2 linked regions of the Anolis sagrei genome follow. The protein of the gene in region 2 interacts with the protein of the main gene of each other region in a pairwise test. Links are inferred from orthologs where the notes say so. Each region holds a gene or a part of one and is shown on either strand. Other genes may lie near its edges.

The links. The genes of interacting proteins can lie anywhere in the genome.
Region 1: the proteins of STX5 (region 2) and STX3 interact in binary tests that used the Homo sapiens proteins (3 or more experiments, as listed by UniProt). The link is inferred for Anolis sagrei from reciprocal best matches to the Homo sapiens genes STX5 and STX3.

The regions. Positions count from the first base shown.
Region 1 is NC_090021.1:234,867,081-234,877,588, reverse strand, and holds the start of STX3 (syntaxin-3), read right to left. Parts: upstream 4,629-10,508; 5' UTR 4,298-4,628; coding exon 4,268-4,297; intron 1-4,267. UniProt on the Homo sapiens protein: Potentially involved in docking of synaptic vesicles at presynaptic active zones. Apical receptor involved in membrane fusion of apical vesicles.
Region 2 is NC_090032.1:12,410,511-12,420,882, forward strand, and holds the start of STX5 (syntaxin-5), read right to left. Parts: upstream 4,682-10,372; 5' UTR 4,548-4,681; intron 1,135-4,547; 5' UTR 1,116-1,134; coding exon 900-1,115; intron 1-899. Other genes in the region: TEX54 (testis-expressed protein 54), read right to left, coding at 10,150-10,372. UniProt on the Homo sapiens protein: Mediates endoplasmic reticulum to Golgi transport.

The sequences.
Region 1 (10,508 bases), on a different chromosome or scaffold from region 2:
ACCCCCTCCCTAGTGACATTGTACCAGCTCCACTGGCTGCCGATTTGCTACCGGGCTCAATTCAAGGTGCTGGCGTTGGCCTATAAAGCCCTAAACGGTTCCGGCCCAAGATACCTTTACGACCGCATCTCAACCTACGAGCCCACCAGGACTTTGAGATCGTCCAGGGAGGCCCTGCTCTCGATCCCGCCTGCCTCACAGGCACGCCTGGTGGGGACGAGAGATAGGGCCTTCTTGGTGGTGGCTCCTCGGCTGTGGAACACCCTTCCCGTGGACATCAGACAGGCTCCGTCCCTGTTAATATTCCGCAGGAAATTAAAGACCTGGCTGTTCAAGAAGGCGTTCGAACAAGAAGTGCAATAATTGGTAATGACGACAGGAATGGAACAACGGAAAATGATACTGGATTGTGGTTTAGACGATGAGACGACGTGGAATGGCTTTTGTATTATTGATGATGTTTTTGATGACGATGTTTTTGGTTAATGCTAGATTGATTATTTTAGATTGTGTCTTGAATTTGAACCTGTTTCTATGTTGTACACCGCTGTGAGTCGCCCTCGGGCTGAGAACAGCGGTATATAAGCAAAGTAAATAAAATAAATAAATAAATAAATAAATAATTAGATTGGCCCCATTCTTCCTGGTCTTCAGGTAAAAAGCTAAAGACCTGGCTTTGTGCTCAAGCATTCAAAGAATAGGGTAACGTGGAATTTGACTTTAACCTTGCAGTCCAGATAATGACCATGGAAAACTGGATGTTTGGAAATAATGACTCAGAACTTTTTATGTTTTTTAACTATTTTACTGTGTTTTATAGGTTTTAACTGTTTATATGTTTTAATTGTTTTATAATTTAATGTGCTATGTTTTTGTTATGTGCAAAATGAGGCACTGAATTTTTGCCGTAGTTTGTAAAGCCGCACTGAATCCCCTTCAAGGTGAGAAGAGAGGGGTATAAATAAAGTAACACAAGTTATTTACACTGAGAAAAAGAAAAGAGCTAGACGTAGGAGTGTGAAACAGGTCATCACCTTGAAGTCAGCAAATATGAAAGAAGTAGCATGCCTAGGCCTTTGCCAAGTCTGGCACATGCTGAACTACTAACACTCTCTGGCAATAAAAACTGTGAGAAGCTGTGTTTATGCCATCTGCATATCACGTCACACCATGATGATGCACTCAATAAAGATGTACTTCAGGAGACGCATAAGCAAACTTGTCTTACAGGCCAGACACTTGTGTTTTTCCTCCTTTTAAAAATGACGGATTTCAGCTGAAAACTAAGGGCCCTTCCACACAGCCATATAACCCAGACTATCAAGGCAGAAAATCCCACAATATCAGCTTTGAACTGGGTTATCTGAGGACTCTTCCACACAGCTGAATAAAAGCCCACAATTTCTGCTTTGAACTGGAATATATGGCAGTGTGGACTCAGATAACCTAGTACAAAGAAGATATTCTGGGATATAGGGCTGTGTGGAAGGGCCCCCAGAATATCAAGGAAGAAAATCCCACAATATCTGCTTTGAACTGGTTTATCTTAGTCCACACTCAGATAATGTGGGATTTTCTGCCTTGACATTCTGGGATATAGGGTTGTGTGAAAGGGCCCTGAGTCCACAATGCCATAAATCGCTGTTCAAAGCAGATGTGGGATTTTATTTAGCTTTGTGGAAGGGGCCCAAGAAGCACTAAAGAGTTGATTTCAAGGTACATCTACACTGTAGAATTAATGCAGTTTGACACCACTTTAACTGCCAAGGCTCAATACTATGGAATTCTGGTCGTTCTACTTTAGATAGGAACTTTGACAGAGAAGGGGCCCTTCCACACAGCCCTATATCCCAGAATATCAAGGCAGAAAATCCCACAATATCTGCTTTGAACTGGAACAACCTCCACACAGCTGAATAAAATGCCACATTGTCTGCTTTGAACTGGAATATATGGCAGTGTGGACTCAGATTACCCAGTTCAAAGCAGATATTGTGGGATTTCTTGGCTTGATATTCTGGGTTATATGACAGTGCGGAAGGGCCCTGGGTCATCCGAGGGCCCTTCCACACAGCCCTATACCCCAGAATATAAGGCAGAAAATCCCACATTATCTGAGTCTGGACTCAGATAACCCAGTTCAAAGCAGGTATTGCGAGATTTTCTGTCTTGATATTCTGGGATATAGGGCTGTGTGGAAGGGCCCCGAGCCTACACTCAGATATTCACTCAATGATTCCTTAGCATTGAATTGTGTCATCTAAAAGTGGTGTGAAGCTGCATTAATTTCACAGTGTAGCTACATCTTCAGAAGTGAGTCGCCTAAGGGCTATGAAGGTCGGTATACAAATATCTATATAAATAAAAATGTAATGTTCATTTGTGGGATTAACATAGTTCAAAAACCACTGGATGAATTGACACCAAATTCGGACAGAATACACCTATCAGTCCAACGAGTGACCATCACTTATAAAAACACCGAAAAACACAGAAGAGACTTAAAAAACCAAAAAACAAAATTACTTTACAACGCATGTGCAAAACCACATATATACACAAATATATACACACACACACATATACACACAAAACACACATACAGGGCCACAGTAACACGTAGCAGGGGACAGCTAGGTATAAATAAAAAAATGTAATATTCATTTGTGGGATTAGCATAATTCAAAAATCACTGGACGAATTGACACCAAATTTGGACAGAATACATGTATCAGGCCAACAAGTGACCATCACTCATAAAAACACTGAAAAACACACCAGAAGAGACTTAAAAGCAAAAAACAAACAAAAAACATTACAATGAATTCACAAAACCGCACACACACATATATACACAAAAATATGCACCCACACACATGCACACACACAAAACACATATACACAGACTGGGCCACAGCAACGTGTGGCAGGGGACGGCTAGTAGTAAATAAATAAATTTCCTGCCTTGGTATTCTGGGATATAGGGGTGTATGGAAGGGCCCCGAGCTGACACTCAGATAATGTGGGATTTCCTGCCTTGATATTCTGGGATATAGGGCTGTATGAAAGGGCCCTGAGTCCACACTCAGATATTGTGGGATTTCATGCCTTCACATTCTGGGATATAGGACTGTGTGGAAGGGCCCAAGAGTAAAAGCATGCAAAGCTCCAACTCCCATGATTCCTTAGCACTGAATCATGTCAGTTAAAAGTGGTGTGAAGCTGCATTAATTCTACAGTGTAGCTGCACCTTCAGAAGTGACCACAAGCTGAGAGACTGAACATTATGTTCTGAACTGAGGATTGAAGAACAAGGGGAGGGGCAGCTCCAAGTCAACTGAGCCATAAATGTTATGTGAGAGAGGATATGAAACCAGCACTTCAGCCCTGGTTGGGCCTATAATGCTCTTGTGACATCTTATATAGATAATGTCCGCAGGCACATATCTGAGTGCACCAAGGAAGGAAAAAAAAATAAAAGTGACAGGAGGCGGGAAGCCAAAAAGAGGAAGTTGCCAACTCTACTGATCTTGGTGGGGGGAAAAGTGGCGGGAAACAGAGACTCCCTCCTAGCCATCTTCAAATGGTTTTATTATTTTGGTCACAGTGCCACATTGCAAGGTGTGCATGTGGTTCCCTAATGGACATATTCTCAGATCCATTATGGCAGGTGTGGGCCAACTTGGGTCCTGCAGGTGTTTTGGACCCCAACTACTTTTGGACTCCAACTTAAGCGGCGGAGGGGGAAAAGGAAAGGGCCTGAGGCTGTTAGGAATGGTGGGAGTTGGAGTCCAAAACACCTGCAGGACCCAAATTGGCCCATACCTGCATTAGAGCACTACTAAACAGTCCCACCCTCACTTTGCCAGCCACTATTGGCAGGTTTGGAAACTACAGAGCTGTGGAAGCCTATTCCAACCCCCCGCCCCATATTCTATATTATTATTTTCCAAATTTAGGGGTGACTTTTACCTTAAGGACCCAGTCTTTGGATTCCCACCAATAGCCACACTATTCCAAAGTGGGCCCTTTCCCTTTACAGTCCCTATGGTTGGGATTAATACAGCTTGACACCCCAATGCTATGAGGAATCCTGGGAGTTATAGTTTGGTGAGGCGCCCACACTCTTTGGCAGAGAAGGAGAAAGACTCTTAGGGTCCCAGAGTAGAGTTAGGGCAGTTAAAGCGGTGTCAAAGTGCATTAATTCCCCAGTTTAGAAGGAAGGAAAGAAGGGAAAGAGGGAAGTGGATGCAGGGGGCTTGCTCACCGCCTTCAGCTGCTCCAGCCGGTCCTTCATTTTGGACAGGTGTGTGCCTCCTCCTCCTCCTCCTCCTCCTCCTGTTTTTCTGCAGGTGGACCCGGGCGAAACTCCCCTCCAGGAAGTGGCCTCCCGGCCCCGACGGAAGGACGGCTTCCTCCTCCGCTTTCGCCCTCTTTGCCTTGGCTGGGAGGGGAACTCGCTCTGCCTGGCCGCGGCGGAGGGGAGAGACGCCCCCTCCCCACTTGCTCTCTTCTCTTCCTCTTCCTCCTCCTCCTCCTCTTCCTCCTCCCCCTCCTTCCCCGTCTGGGTCTGATCCTCGGGCGCTGAGCTCCCCGCCGCCGCCGCTAATCCATCATGACATACGCAGGGTGGGCGGGGTCAAAGCGGGAGGCCCCGCCCACTTACCTGAGCGCAAGTCGCTCTTAAAGGGGTAGGCCCCTCCCAAGCCAGAGAGAGCCAACCTGTTGCTGGAGGAGAGGACAACCTGTGTTAGGTGTCGCCTGGAGAGGCCCACGTGGGAGTGGGAGCTGCACCGGGGGACCCCCTCAGAGAGGGTGTTGCTAATCTACCTATCTATCTTTTCTATATAAATAAAAATGTAATGTTAGTTTGTGGGATTAACAGAACTCAAAAACCACTGGACGAATTGGCACCAAATTTGGACACAAGGCACCTCTCAGTAGGCCTGTAGCGGGGGGTGGGGGGGGGGGGGGTGGGGGGGTTAGGGGTTCAACCCCCCCCCGAAATGTTTCAGATTTTTTTTAAAAAAAACCCTGGTTTACTCATGAATTTTAACTGGTTAACCAAATCCCCATGCTAAATCTATGAGATGCAAAAAATTAAAGAGTCCCTCCAGAACTGCAAGCACTATCTCAAGCAAATATTGACAATTTATTCACACTGTCATTACTTGCAGCAATAGCCGATGTAGTGAAGCAACCAAGTTGGGTGTGTGTGTGTTGAATATTCTCATTAAGGAGGCCAGACTTGGTGGAGGTGGTTGACAGGGGCGGAGCTGCAGGCTACTGAAGGCTGCTCTGCCCCCTGCTGTGCTCTTTGCTTCAGCGTGAGCTAGGAGGCAGGTTTCAACACACACACACCCTGTAAAATTTTCAACCCCCCCCCCGAAAATTTCAACCCCTCCCGAAATTTTTTTCTGGATACAGCCCTGCCTCTCATGCCAACGAGTGACCATTATCCATAAAAACACTAAAATAAGACAAAGTGGATGAGACTTACAAAGCCAAAAAAATACATTACAGTGCCTGCGCAAAAGCACATATATACACAAACACACAGCCCCTCGGCTGTGGAACTCCCTGCCTAGGGATATTAGATCAGCCCCCTCCCTCCTGACCTTTCGTAAGAGAGTGAAAACCTGGCAGGCATTCAGAACCCCGGAATAGTCAAGCTTGAGATGGAGAATGACCCAGGAACGGCCAAGACGATGAAACGGATGAGGATTGGAATGAGAGGATATAGCTCTTTTTAAATTGTTATTGCACTGTCTTTCTTGTCTAAATGCACTTAATTGTTTTTGCTTTTGTATTGTATTGATGGCATCAAATTGTGCTGATATGTAGACCGCCCTGAGTCGCCTGCGGGCTGATATGGGCGGGATATAAGTGATGTAAATATACACACACACAAATATATAGACACACATATACGCATATATATACACACAAACATATACACAGACTGGGCCACAGCAAAGAGTGGCTAGTATATATATATTCTTTGTTGTTCATTCGTTCAGTCGTCTCCGACTCTTCGTGACCTCATGGACCAGCCTACGCCAGAGCTCCCTGTCGGCCGTTACCACCCCCAGCTCCCTCAAGGTCAGTCCAGTCACTTCAAGGATGCCATCCATCCATCTTGCCCTTGGTCGGCCCCTCTTCCTTTTGCCTTCCACTTTCCCCAGCATAATTGTCTTCTCTAGGCTTTCCTGTCTCCTCATGATGTGGCCGAAGTACTTCAACTTTGTCTCTAGTATCTTTCCCTCCAGTGAGCAGTCGGGCTTTATTTCCTGGAGGATGGACTGGTTGGATCTTCTCGCAGTCCAAGGCACTCTCAGCACTTTCCTCCAACACCACAGCTCAAAAGCATCGATCTTCCTTCGCTCAGCCTTCCCTAAGGTCCAGCTCTCACATCCGTAGGTGACTACAGGGAATACCATGGCTTTGACTAGGCGGATCTTTGTTGCCAGTCTGATGTCTCTACTCTTCACTATTTTATCGAGACTGGACATTGCTCTCCTCCCAAGAAGTAAGCGTCTTCTGATTTCCTGGCTACAGTCTGCATCTGCAGTAATCTTTGCACCTAGAAATACAAAGTCTGTCACGGCCTCCACGGTTTCTCCCTCTATTTTCCAGTTGTCAATCATTCTTGTTGCCATAATCTTGGTTTTTTTGACGTTTAGCTGCAACCCGGCTTTTGCGCTTTCTTCTTTCACCTTGATTAGAAGGCTCCTCAGCTCCTCCTCGCTTTCGGCCATCAGAGTGGTGTCATCTGCATATCTGAGGTTGTTAATGTTTCTTCCAGCAATTTTCACCCCAGCTTTGCATTCATCCAGCCCCGCACATCGCATGATGTGTTCTGCATACATGTTAAAAAGGTTGGGTGAGAGGATGCAGCCTTGCCGTACGCCTTTCCCAATCTTGAACCAGTCTGTTGTTCCGTGGTCAGTTCTGACTGTTGCTTCTTGGTTCTTGTACAGATTCCTCAGGAGAGAGACAAGGTGGCTTGGGATGCCCATCCCACCAAGAACTTGCCACAATTTATTATGATCCACACAGTCAAAGGCTTTAGAATAATCAATGAAGCAGAAGTAGATGTTTTTCTGAAACTCCCTGCCTTTCTCCATTGTTGTTGTTCATTCGTTCAGTCGTCTCCGACTCTTCGTGACCTCATGGACCAGCCCACGCCAGAGCTCCCTGTCGGCCGTTACCACCCCCAGCTCTCTCAAGGTCAGTCCAGTCACTTCAAGGATGCCATCCATCCATCTTGCCCTTGGTCGGCCCCTCTTCCTTTTGCCTTCCACTTTCCCCAGCATCATTGTCTTCTCTAGGCTTTCCTGTCTCATGATGTGGCCAAAGTACTTCAACTTTGTCTCTAGTATCTTTCCCTCCAGTGAGCAGTCGGGCTTTATTTCCTGGAGGATGGACTGGTTGGATCTTCTCGCAGTCCAAGGCACTCTCAGAACTTTCCTCCAGCACCACAGTTCAAAAGCATCGATCTTCCTTCGCTCAGCCTTCCCTAAGGTCCAGCTCTCACATCCGTAGGTGACTACAGGGAATACCATGGCTTTGACTAGGCGGATCTTTGTTGCCAGTCTGATGTCTCTACTCTTTACTATTTTATCGAGATTCTCCATTATCCAGCGGATATTGGCAATCTGGTCTCTCGTTCCTCTGCCTTTTCTAAACCCAGCTTGAACATCTGGCAACTCTCGCTCCATGTATTGATGGAGTCTTCCTTGCAGGATCTTGAGCATTACCTTACTGGCATGAGAAATAAGGGCCACTGTACGGAAGTTTGAGCAGTCTTTCGCATTTCCCTTTTTTGGTATGGGGATATAAGTTGATTTTTTCCAGTCTGATGGCCATTCTTGTGTTTTCCATATTTGTTGGCAAATGGCATGCATCACCTTGACAGCATCATCTTTTAAGATTTTAAACAGTTCAGCTGGGATCCCATCATCTCCTGCTGCCTTGTTGTTAGCAATGCTTCTTAAGGCCCATTCAACCTCACTCCTCAGGATGTCTGGTTCTAATTCATTCACCACACCGTCAAAGCTATCCTCGATATTGTTATCCTTCCTGTACAGATCTTCTGTATAGTCTCGCCACCTTCTCTTGATCTCTTCAGCTTCTGTTAGGTCCCTGCCATCTTTGTTTCTTATCATACCAATTTTTGCCTGAAATTTACCTCCAATGTTTCTAATTTTCTGGAAGAGGTCTCTTGTCCTTCCTATTCTGTTGTCTTCTTCCACTTCCATGCATTGCTTGTTTAAAAATAGTTCCTTATCTCTTCTGGCTAACCTCTGGAATTGCGCATTTAACTGGGCATATCTCCCCTTTTCACTGTTTCCTTTTGCTTTCCTCCTTTCTTGGGCTACTTCCAGTGTCTCAGCAGACAACCATTTTGCCTTCTTGGTTTTCTTTTTCTTTGGAACGTACTTTGTTGCCGTCTCCTGAACAATGTCTCGGACTTCTGTCCATAGTTCTTCTGGGACTCTGTTTACTAAATCTAGTCCTTCAAATCTGTTCTTCACTTCCACTGTATATTCGCTAGGAATGTTAGTGAGATCATATCTAACTGGTCTGTGTATTTTCCCTGATCTCTTTAGTTTTATTCTAAATTGGGCAATAAGAAGTTCGTGATCTGAGCTACAGTCAGCCCCAGGTCTTGTTTTCACCGACTGGATGGATGTCCGCCACCTTTGGCTGCAAAGGATGTAGTCAATCTGATTTCGGTGCTGACCATCTGGTGAGGTCCATGTATAAAGCCGTCTTTTAGGTTGTTGGAAGAGAGTGTTTGTTATACACAGCGAGTTTTCCTGGCAGAATTCTATCAGCCTGCGTCCCGCTTCATTTTGTTCTCCCAGACCATGCTTGCCTGTGATCCCAGTTGTCATTTGACTTCCCACCTTGGCATTCCAGTCTCCTGTAATGAAAATAATGTCTCTTTTTGGTGTATTATCCAGTAGGTCCTGCAGATCCTCATAGAACTGATCTACTTCTGCTTCTTCAGCAGCTGTGGTTGGGGCGTATATTTGGATCACTGTGATGTTGAAAGGCTTTCCTTGCACTCGAATTGAGATCATTCTGTCATTTTTTGGGTTGTATCCAAGCACCGCTTTAGCGAATTTCTTATTAATTATGAAGGCTACTCCATTTCTTCGATGTTCCTCTTGTCCGCAGTAGTAGATCTGGTGGTCATCTGATGTGAAGTGGCCCATTCCAGTCCATTTCAGTTCGCTGACCCCCAGAATGTCTATCTTTAGTCTTGACATCTCACCAATAACAACATCCAATTTGCCCTGGCTCATAGATCTTACATTCCAGGTTCCTATGGTGTGTTGATCTTTAGAGCATCGGATTCGTCGTTCACCTCCAGTACCGTCGGCCGCTAGCCTTCCTTTCGGCTTTGAGCTAGCTGCATCATCACATCTGGGGCTAGTTGAACTTATCCTCTGCTCCTCCCCAGTAGCATTTTGGCCATCTTCCGACCTGGGAGTCCCATCTTCCAATGGCATACCGACATATCTCTGGTTGTACTGGTCCATTTAGTTTTCTTGGCAAGGATACTGGAGTGGTTTGCCATTGCCTTCCCCAGGGATCACGCTTGGTCTGACCTCTCTGCCACAACCGTCCCGTCTTGGGTGGCCCTTCACGGTTTCGCTCATGACATCATTGAGGTGCTCAAGCTCCAGCGCCCCGACAAGGCGGTGATCCTTTGCTGGAGATATATATTCTTTATAAATAAAAATGGTTTTTTGAGTTCTGTTAATCCCACAAACGAACATTACATTTTTATTTATATAGAATATATATTCTATATAAATAAAAATGTAATGTTCGTTTGTGGGATTAACAGAACTCAAAAACCACTGGACAAATTGACACCAAATTTGGACACAAGACACCTTTCAGGCCAACAAGTGACCATCAGTCATAAAAACACTGAAAAACACAACAGAAGAAACTTAAAAAGCCAAAAAACAAAAAAAATACATTACAACACATGCACAAAACCACACACATATATATGCAAATACAAATATACACACACAAAACACATATACACTGACTGGGCCACAGCAACGCATGGCAGGGGACAGCTAGTCTTCTATATCAATAAAAAGGTAATGTTCGTTTGTGGGATTAACATAACTCAAAAACCACTGGACGAATTGATGCCAAATTTGGACACAATACACCTCTCAGGCCAACGAGTGACCATCACCCAATATAATGTTCGTGGACAGAAAAAGAGATTTAAAGATGGGCTTATAACCAACCTTAAAAAATGTGGCATAGACACCGAGAACTGGGAAGCCATAACCCTTGAGCACTCTAACTGGAGGTTAGCTGTGACCAGCAGTGCTGCAGAATTCGAAGAGGCACAAATGGAGAGCAAAAGGGAGAAACATGTTAAGAGGGAGGCGCATCAAGCCAACCCTGACCGGGACCACCTTCCATTGGGAAACCAATGTCCTCATGCAGGAGAACATGCAGATCAA
Region 2 (10,372 bases):
TCTCCTAGCAGTGGATTTGAACCAAACTTGGCACACAGGACTCCCATGACCAATACAAAACGCTAGAAGGATTTGGTGGGCATTGACCTTGAGTTTGGGAGTTGTAGTTCACCTACATCGAGAGAGCACTGGGGTCTCAAACAATGGTGGATCTGGACCAAACTTGGCATGAATATTCCATATGCCCAAATATGAACACAGTTGGAATTTGAGTGAAATAGACCTTGAGAGTTGTAGTTACTGGGATTTATAGATCACCTACAATCAAAGAGCACCGACAGAATTGGGGCAAACTTCCCACACAGAACCCCCATGACCAACAGAAAATACTTAAGGCCATCCAGTCCAACTCCCTTCACTAGGGCAAGAAAAGCAATCAAAGCCCTCCTGACAAAGAGCCATCCAGCCATAGATATAGATAGAAATATATGATTCACACACAAAGATATAGATTTAAAAGGGACCCCTAAAGAAGGACAATCATATGTTGCATGTTCCACAGTAGGCAAACCAGACAAAGAAGCAGCAAGAAATACTGTTTACCCACAAGCATAAAGACATTACATATATTAGAAACCAACACTTTCTCATTACTCTATTTTCCAGATCACCAGACTGGTCCACAACACGTGGCAGGGGGCGGCTAATAATAATAATAATAATAATAATAATAATAATAAACCCATAGAGGCTCTTTTTATCAGTCCATCATCTCCCACATGAAACTGGCTACAATTATTTCTTTCAGTCTTAAAAACTTGCCATTGATTGGTACCGAAGAACTGCATAATAGTTGTCTACTACTCTCAGGACCAAAGGCTTACTGCTAAATTGCTGCTAAATCGAGCCTGAAATGAGCCAGCTTCATCCTGCACAGACTTCAGGAAGGGGCAACTCACCTGTCTGCTTTGCAAAGACTTGCAGGCTGAGAGGAACTCCTGGGTGCGGTCTTGACAGGACATGGTGTCCCACTGGGGTGGGGACGGTGCGGCCGGAGATGCGGTGGCAGTATTGACAGTTGCAGCAAGTGGTGGTGGCAGGACTTGGGTCTGGGAAGGTCCCAGGTAAACGCCTTGCTCGGTGTTTCTAGAGCCGTGGCGTCTCCTCGTATACATGGAGGCTCATAACCTGATGCTAAAAGGATATAGAAGAGAGCCATCAATGCTCAACGGCTGAAATGGAAAACTCCATTCTTAAGATCTAAATGACTGACAAGAAATATATATGAGACCCTCCCAGTGATGTAACACCATTGTTTGGATGTGAGTTGTTGATCAACAACACTTTCTCATAAACGTTTCCATTGTCTTAAAAAATAAAATCCTCACTCTGGCCTACCTTACAAGAGTATTGTGAAGATAAAATAGAGAAATAGGTGCAATGGGGAAAGGTGGGATATAAATGCAATACATAAACACAGCAACGTTGTCCTGGTTGAAGCAGAACCTAAATATTATCACCACTATTCTGCTACAATCACCATACAGCAATTTTCTATACTCATTTACCCAACAAACGGTAGGAGAAATAACTCTGTCTCCAGTTCTGGGCACTACAATTCAAGTAAGATATCGACAAGGTGGAGGCTCTTCAGCTTGGACATGATTGTCATGTCTGAATATTTGAAAAAGAGGTCTACTGAGGAGAGGGCAAGTAGACAGGACACAATGGAGCAATGGGTTGAAACTGCAGAGGAAAAATCCATGTCCATTAGGAAGAACTTCCTGGTGGTAAGAGCCATTTCACAGTGCAATGTGCTGCCTTAGAATCACCTTTACCGGAGGTTTTTAAGCAAATGCTGGATGGCCCAGTTTACCTGTCCGAACGTATCTCCCACTATGATCCACCTCGGGCCCTAAGATCATCTGGGGAGACCCTGCTCATTGTCCCCCCATTGTCACAATCGCGTCTGGCGGGGACAAGGGACAGGGCGTTTTCTGTGGTGCCCCCCTGGCTGTGGAACTCCCTCCCAAATGAAATTAGATCTGTTGCATCCCTCTTGATCTTCCGGAAACAAGTAAAATCCTGGCTATGGGCCTTTGGAGAATACGCTGACCTACTGATGTGTTGACTGATTTAGAACCGATGGACTGCCCTTGGATAATGATTTAAATCAGTGACTGCTGAGTATTTGTTGTCTCTTTTCATATTGTTTTTATATTGTTTATACGGTTTTATATTGTTATTATTACATTACTGTTAATTGTATATTTATGTTTTGATGTGGGCACCATGGGGTGCCACTTTGTTAACCATCCTGAGTCCCTCTGCAGAGGTTGAGAAAGGACAAGATATAAAAGCCCCTGGATGGCGAGGCGCAACACCCGTCATCATTGGTCAAGAGACTGGGAGTCCTTTTGGACCGTCTGCTGACGATGGAGGCCCAGGTCTCTGCTGTTAGCAGAACCGCCTTCTTTCACCTGCGGCAGGCTAGACGGCTGGCCCCCTCCCTGTCCAGGGACGACCTAGCTATGGTGATCCAGGCCACTGTCATCTCAAGACTGGACTACTGTAACACCCTCTACATTGGTCTTCCTCTGTCGGTGATCCGGAAACTCAAGTTGGTACAAAATGCAGCTGCTCGGCTTCTTGCGGGAATTCCGATGAGATGTCACATAACACCAATCTTACTGCAGCTGCATTGGTTACCAATTGAGCACCGGATCACTTTCAAAGTGATGGTACTCACCTTTAAGGCCTTGCATGGTCTGGGGCCGATGTATCTGAGGGACCGCCTCACCCCCTACCAACCCCAGAGATCCCTCCGTTCTGAGGACCAAGATCTATTGGAAATTCCCAGTGTCAAGACCTTGCGTCTAACAGCAACCAGACGCAGAGCCTTCACAGCAGTGGCCCCATCACTCTGGAATACTCTGCCACCTGAAGTCCGTGCCTTGCGGGACTTACCAGCTTTCCGCAGGGCATGTAAGACATACCTGTTTCGACAGGCTTTTAATGTTTGATATTGTTGTTTTTAAATTGTTTTTAAATTGCTTTTAAATTTTGTTAGATTTTAGCTATTCTTGTAAGCCGCTCCGAGCCCCAGGGGAGTGGCGGCATATGTTCAAATAATAAATAAATAAATAAATTTTGGTCATCTGTTGGAGGGCTTTGACTGGACACCCCTGCCTGGATGGCCCTTGAGGTCCCTTCAACCTCTAGGCCTATGAGGTTGAATGGTTATCTATTAGGAAGCATCTGATAGTGTAGACACCATTAAATCCCTCCTGACAGATAACCCTTCTGCCAGAGAAGCCTGGCAGAAAAGGGTGGGATTAGATAGCCCCTGGATTCCCTTACAACGCTCTCTACGTGGGGTTGCTTCTGAAGACTGCTCGGAAGCTTCAAATGGTCCAACGATCAGCAGCCAGGTTGCTAACAGGAGCATACCACTCCTCTGTTGCGCAAGCTCCACTGGCTGCCAATTTGCTACCGGGCACAATTCAAAGTGCTGGCTTTAGCCTTTAAAGCCCTAAACGGTTCTGGCCCGACCTACCTGTCCGAACGCATCTCCTCCTATGAACCAGTTAGGACATTAAGATCGTCTGGGGAGGCCCTGCTCTCGATCCCGCCGGCCTCACAAGCACGCCTGGCGGGGACGAGAGACAGGGCCTTCTCCGTGGTGGCCCACTCGGCTGTGGAACGCCCTTCCTGCAGGTATTAGATTGGCCCCTTCCTTGCTGGCATTCCTTGTTGGAAAGTAAAGACCTGGATGTTTGAACAGGCATTTGACTAAGCAGTGTGATTGATTAACTGATTATTGGAACATGGAATAACGGACAATGGGTTTTGGATTCTGATTTCACCGACTAGACCAGATGGATTTGTTATATTGATGTATTGATGTTTTGATGCCTATGTTAATGATGTTAATGACTTGTGATGCTTCTGTATTTTAAATGCATAAAGATTTTGTATCCTGTATACCTAAACTGTTGTAAACCGCTCTGAGTCGCCCAAGGGCTGAGAAGAGTGGTATACAAATAAAGTAAATAAATAAATAAATAAATACAACTCCCAATATTCTACAATTTTAAGCACAATGTCAGTACATGTTTAACTCTTTCTCTGTCCCCTTCTTTCCTTTGGAATTTTTAAACAGTCTGTTGGGAGGGCTTGGATGGTGATGCCTGGCAGAAGCAGGTTGGGATCCCGTCCAATTCTAGGATTCTGTGACACCATGTGGTTCTGTGTCAGGAGGGATTGAATGGGGAGAAGAGGGTTGGCTTTCATGGCCTCTGGGCTGCCTTCAGATTCTAGGGTTCTGTGATTTTTGGCCCCACACGTTCAGCTCCCCCTTTTCTGGATTTTTTGGAACAGAGGCTGGATTGGAGGGCCATCTGTCAGGAGGCTTTGAAGGTGCCTTCTTGCCTGGCAGAAGGGGCTCGGGCTAGGTGGCTTTGGGGGCCCCTTCCCACTCTAGGAACCCATCTGTGGGGCACCATCCGTAGGGGAAAGCGGCCTCCAGAGAGAGAGGCCTACCTCGCAAGGAGAGGCCTCGCCGAGAAGCGCCTCCCCGCTCTCCCTCCCTCCCGCCCGCGACTCACCGGCCCCACAGGCCCAAATCCCACCGAGACGCCGCCGGACTCCCGAGCCTCCGACACCGGCCGCCTTCCCCCGGAACCGAAAGGCCAAACAAGCGGACGTCACTGCCACGTACTCCCTCAGGCTGCCGCGTCACACGCACGACGTCGAGAGTCCCCGCCCCACTGCATACGTCACGCCACTCGCCTCATTAGACCCAAAAAACGGGAGGAAGTTGCCTGGCAACAAGGAGGAAGCGGAAGGGAAGGATCCTGCGGGGGGATGTAAACAAGCCTCGCTTGGGAAGAGATTTCCGGTTGCCAAGGGTTTCTGGAATCGAGCCTCAAACTCAGGCGGAAGGCCTCAGTGCGCCAGGCAGGAAGACACCGCCAGAGCCCCCCTGACAGCTTCAGATTAAAAATCTACAGAGACCCCATCATCACCATTTTATTATCCACTAGCCGTCTCCTGCCAGGCGTTGCTGTGGCCCAGTCTGGTGATCATGAGGGTTCTGTGTGGGAGGTTTGGCCCAATTCTATTGTTGGTAGAATTCAGAATGCTCTGTGATTGTAGGTGAACTATAAATCCCAGCAACTACAACTCCCAAATGTCAAGATGCTACTTTCCCCAAACTCCACCAGTGTTCGCATCTGGGCATATTGAGTAATCGTGCCGAGTTTGGTCCAGATCCATCCAGGCATTCTTTCAAAGGAAACATGCTATCCTTAGCTGAAGCTGATTTAGAAGGCATGAAGAAATATTTGGGTGTAATCAGCATACCTGTAACACTGCATCCATACCTACAGATCCCTCCCAGTGGCTGCTATGAGGATAGAATGGCACCTTGTGGGACACCACGTAACAGCTCCCTTTTCAAGGAGCAGCTATTCCCAAGTGCCACCATCCAGAATCCAGAACCAATGTCTCCAATTCCCAGCCTTCCCCATAGGCATTCCAGAAAGGTTTCCCCAATACCACGGTACTGAAGGCCGCTGAGCAGTCTAGAAGCACCAACAGGGACACACTCCCGTTGGTGTTGAGATGGAGATCCAGTACAACAATAGCAGTCTCAACTCTGTATCCTGCTCTGAAGCTGGTTTGAAATGAGTCGAGGAAGTGTGTAGCATCCAAGACCGCCTGGAGTTGGAAGGCAACTGCCTTCTCAATCACCTTGCCCAAAAAAGAAACGTTGGACACTAGTCTGTAGTTATCAAGGTCCAAGGTGATTCATGCCATATGCCAGCAAATATGGAAAACACAAGAATGGCCATCAGATTGGAAAAATCAACTTATATCCCCATACCAAAAAAGGGAAACGCTATAAGATGCTCAAACTTTTGTACAGTGGCGTTTATTTCACATGCCAGTAAGGTAATGCTCAAGATTCTGCAAGGTAGACTCCAGCAATACATGGAGAGGGAGTTGCCAGATGTAATCTGATCTTGCCATTAGTCAATCTGATCTCTTTCTTCGATAGAGCTACAAGCTGGGTAGATGCGGGGAATGCCGTGGATGTAGCGTACCTGGATTTCAGTACGGCCTTCGACAAGGTCCCTCATGACCTTCTGGCAAGGAAACTAGTCCAATGTGGGCTAGGCAAAACTACGGTGAGGTGGATCTGTAATTGGTTAAGTGGACGAACACAGAGAGTGCTCACTAATGCTTCCTCTTCATCTGGAAAGAAGTGACAAGTGGAGTGCCGCAGGGTTCCGTCCTGGGCCCGGTCCTGTTCAACATCTTTATTAATGACTTAGATGAAGGGCTAGAAGGCATGATCATCAAGTTTGCAGACGACACCAAATTGGGAGGGATAACCAATAGTCCAGAGGACAGGAGCAGAATTCAAAACGATCTTGACAGATTAGAGAGATGGGCCAAAACTAAGTTCAAAACTGTTGAAGTTCAACAGTGACAAATGCAAGATACTCCACTTTGGCAAAAAAAATGAAATGCAAAGATACAGAATGGGGGACGCCTGGCTCGAGAGCAGTACGTGTGAAAAAGATCTTGGAGTCCTCGTGGACAACAAGTTAAACATGACCCAACAATGTGATGTGGCGGCAAAAAACGCCAATGGGATTTTGGCCTGCATCAATAGGAGCATAGTGTCTAGATCTAAGGAAGTAATGCTACCCCTCTATTCTGCTTTGGTTAGACCACATCTGGAATATTGTGTCCAATTCTGGGCACCACAATTCAAGAGAGATATTGACAAGCTGGAATGTGTCCAGAGGAGGGCGACTAAAATGATCAAGGGTCTGGAGAACAAGCCCTATGAGGAGCGGCTTAGGGAACTGGGCATGTTTAGCCTGAAGAAGAGAAGGCTGAGAGGAGATATGATAGCCATGTATAAATATGTGAAAGGAAGCCACAGAGAGGAGGGAGCAAGTTTGTTTTCTGCTTCCTTGGAGACTAGGACGCGGAACAATGGCTTCAAACTACAAGAGAGGAGATTCCATCTGAACATTAGGAAGAACTTCCTGACTGGGAGAGCCGTTCAGCAGTGGAACTCTCTGCCCCGGAGTGTGGTGGAGGCTCCTTCTTTGGAAGCTTTTAAGCAGAGGCTGGATGGCCATTTGTCAGGGGTGATTTGAATGCAATATTCCTGCTTCTTGGCAGGGGGTTGGACTGGATGGCCCATGAGGTCTCTTCCAACTCTTTGATTCTATGATTCTATGTACGAGAGACCAAATTGCCAATATCCACTGGATAATGGAGGAAGGCAGGGAGTTTGAGATAAACATCTATTTCTGTTTTACTGATGATTCTAAAGTCTTTAACTGTGTGGATCATAATAAATTGTGGCAAGTTCTTGGTGGTCTGGGCATACCAAGTCACCTTGTCTCTCTCCTGAGGAATCTGTATAAGGACCAAGTAGCAACAGTAAGAACAGAACACAGAACAACAGATTGGTTCAAGATTGGGAAAGGCGTACGGCAGGGCTGTCTACTCTCACCCTCCCTATTCAACTTGTATGCAGAACACATCATGCGACGTGTGGGACTTGACGAACCCAGGCTGGAGTTAAAATGGCTGGAAGAAACATTGATAACCTTAGATATGCAGATGATACCACTTTGATGGCTGAAAGCAAGAAGCAGCTGAGGAGCCTTATAACCAAGGTGAAAGAAGAAAGTGCAAATGCTGGGTTGCAGTTAAACATAAAAAAAACCAAGATGATGGCAACCGGACTGATGGATAACTGGCAAATAGAGGGAGAAAACATAGAGGCAGTGACAGACTTTGTATGTGTAGATATGAAGATGACTGCAGATGTGGACTGCAGACAGGAAATCAGAAGACGTTTCCTTCTTGGGAGGAGAGCAAGGACCAATCTCGATGAAATAGTGAAGAGTTGAGACATCACACGGGCAACAAAGATCTGCCTAGTTAAAGCAATGATATTCCCCATAGTAAGCTATGGATGCAAGAGCTGGACTGTAAGGAAGGCTGAGCAAAGGAAGAGAGATGCTTTTTGAGCTGTGGTGTTCGAGAAAAATTCTGAGAGTGCCTTGGACCGCGAGAAGATCGTATCAGTGTAATGTCTATATATTGTACAAGTTTAAAATGTCCATGCTGCTAGCTGTGAGAGTTAAGTTATGAAGCATGTGTGGGACAGACAAGCTTCATAATAGACTAGGAGGCTGGACACTGAATTAATGAGCTGATAGCAGTGTATAAATAGAGCAGACACCATTTTATTATTTCTCTGCTCTTCTCCCTTGCATCTGACTGTGCTAACGAGTAAGTGTTACTGCAATTAATGAAATGTAAATAAAGAGCCACTATTCATTCATTCATTCATTTATTTGCTTTATTTCTACCCCGCCTTTCTCATCCGAAGGGACTCCAGGCAGCTTACAATTCCAGCAAAATTCACTGTCGGTAAAAAACAGTACTAACAATAAAAATTAAACAGTTAGCAATAATAAAATATATCAATAAACATTAAACAGTAAGCAACAATAAAATGTATCAATTTACAAATTTAAAAAGCACATAAAGTGCATAGTTCCATAACCCTGCTCATAATCCTTAATCCAGATCATGTCAAAACCATAGAAACGTATTCTTTGAATGGTTGTGCGCACAGCCAACTCTTCAGCTTTTTCCTAAAACCCAGAAGGGATGGGACATGTCTGATGTTGCTGGGGAGAGAGTTACACAGCCGAGGGGCCACCATGGAGAAGGCCTGTCTCTCGTCCCCACCAGTCGTGATTGCAAAGAAGGTGGGACCGAGAGCAGAAGATCTTAAAATTCTAATACGCTCATAAGAGGAGAAGCATTTGGACAGATAAGTTGAACCAGAACCGTTTAGGGCTTTATAGGCCAAGACCAGCACTTTAAATTGGGCTCTGTAGCATATCAGCAGCCAGTGGAGCTGACTGCTGAGGAGTTGTATGTTCCCTGTACACCGCTCCCGTTAGAAGTCTGACCCCTGCCCGTTGGACTAGCTGAAGCTTCCAGGGCGTCTTTAAAGGCAACCCCACATAGAGTGCATTGCAGTAATCTAAGTGGGATGTAAAAAGAGCATGGACCACTGTAGCCAAGTCTGACTTCCCAAGGTATGGGCGCAACTGGCACACAAGTTTTAATTGTACAAATGCTCCCCTGGTCACCGCTGAAACCTGGGGTTCCAGGCTTAAGCTTACTTAAGCAGAAACAACTGTCTGAAGTCAGTTAATTGGACGATAAGAAGCAAGTTGGCCAGCAAATTGCACTGAAAAGGGTTATAGAACCCAACAGCAAGCTTCCGCTGTTGAATTCCTGAACGATTAATGATCTGCCAGAGAGGGAAACATCAAACGTCTGCTGTGATTTCTGAAGCTGCTGGAAAGCACAAGAATCAGAATCACCAGAGAAGCAGTCAGTGTGTTTTTCTCAGAAACCAGAAAATAATAAGTAAGTTGGCCAGCAAATTGCACTGATAGATCAAACCAGTCCATCCTCCAGGAAATAATGCCTGGCTGCTCACTGGAGGGAAGGATATTAGAGACAAAGGTTAGTACTTTATCCACATAACGAGAGGACAGGAAAGCTTGGAGAAGACAATGATGCTTGGGAAAGGGGAAGGAAAAAAGGAAGAGGGGCGACCAAGGGCAAGATGGATGGACAGTATCCTTGAAGGGACTGGCTTGACTGTGAAGGAGCTGCAGGTGGCCATGGCCGAAAGGGAGCTCTGGCGTGGGCAGGTCCATGAGGCCATGAAAAGTCGGAAGCGACTGAACCAAAGGGGATCCAGGGAAGACTTCTTTTAAACAGGATGGAAAATCCCTCTCCCTGAGAGATGCATTAAAAACTTGTTATATTTGAGATCAAATTACAGCTCCTCCCTGGACAACCAGCCAAGAGGGACAGGGATCAAGAAAGCAGGTTGTCCTCCTTACTTGTCCCAGCAGCATGTCCACATCAACAATACTCACCAAATGAAACTGACCTGGAATTGTCTGGGGAGTGGGAATAAAAAGCCATCACTCTTGCAAAAGCAAGGCATTTACTATTCCAGATCACGGAGGGCATGCGTGATAGTTAAAAGTTTATTCCCCTTATCTGTAAGACTGTCCATATTGTGGGACCCACTTGCCGTAACCTGCTCTGTGTTTCTGTGTCCAGGTTTCCCATGGCTCAAGGGCTGGAGGGTTCTGCTTTGGGTTCTTCTTCCTTGGGTTTCTGGCTGGGGCCAGCTTCCTCCTCCTCCTCTTCCAACTGGCTCTTGGTGCTCTTCATAGATTCCCGTCTACCAAAAGCAGAGTAGCGCCTCCAAATCACCGTGATTTTTGTGTTCTGTGACGGCTGCTTGAGGTTCTCCGGCACCAGTGATGGCTTCTTCCCAGTTGAATGCTTGCTT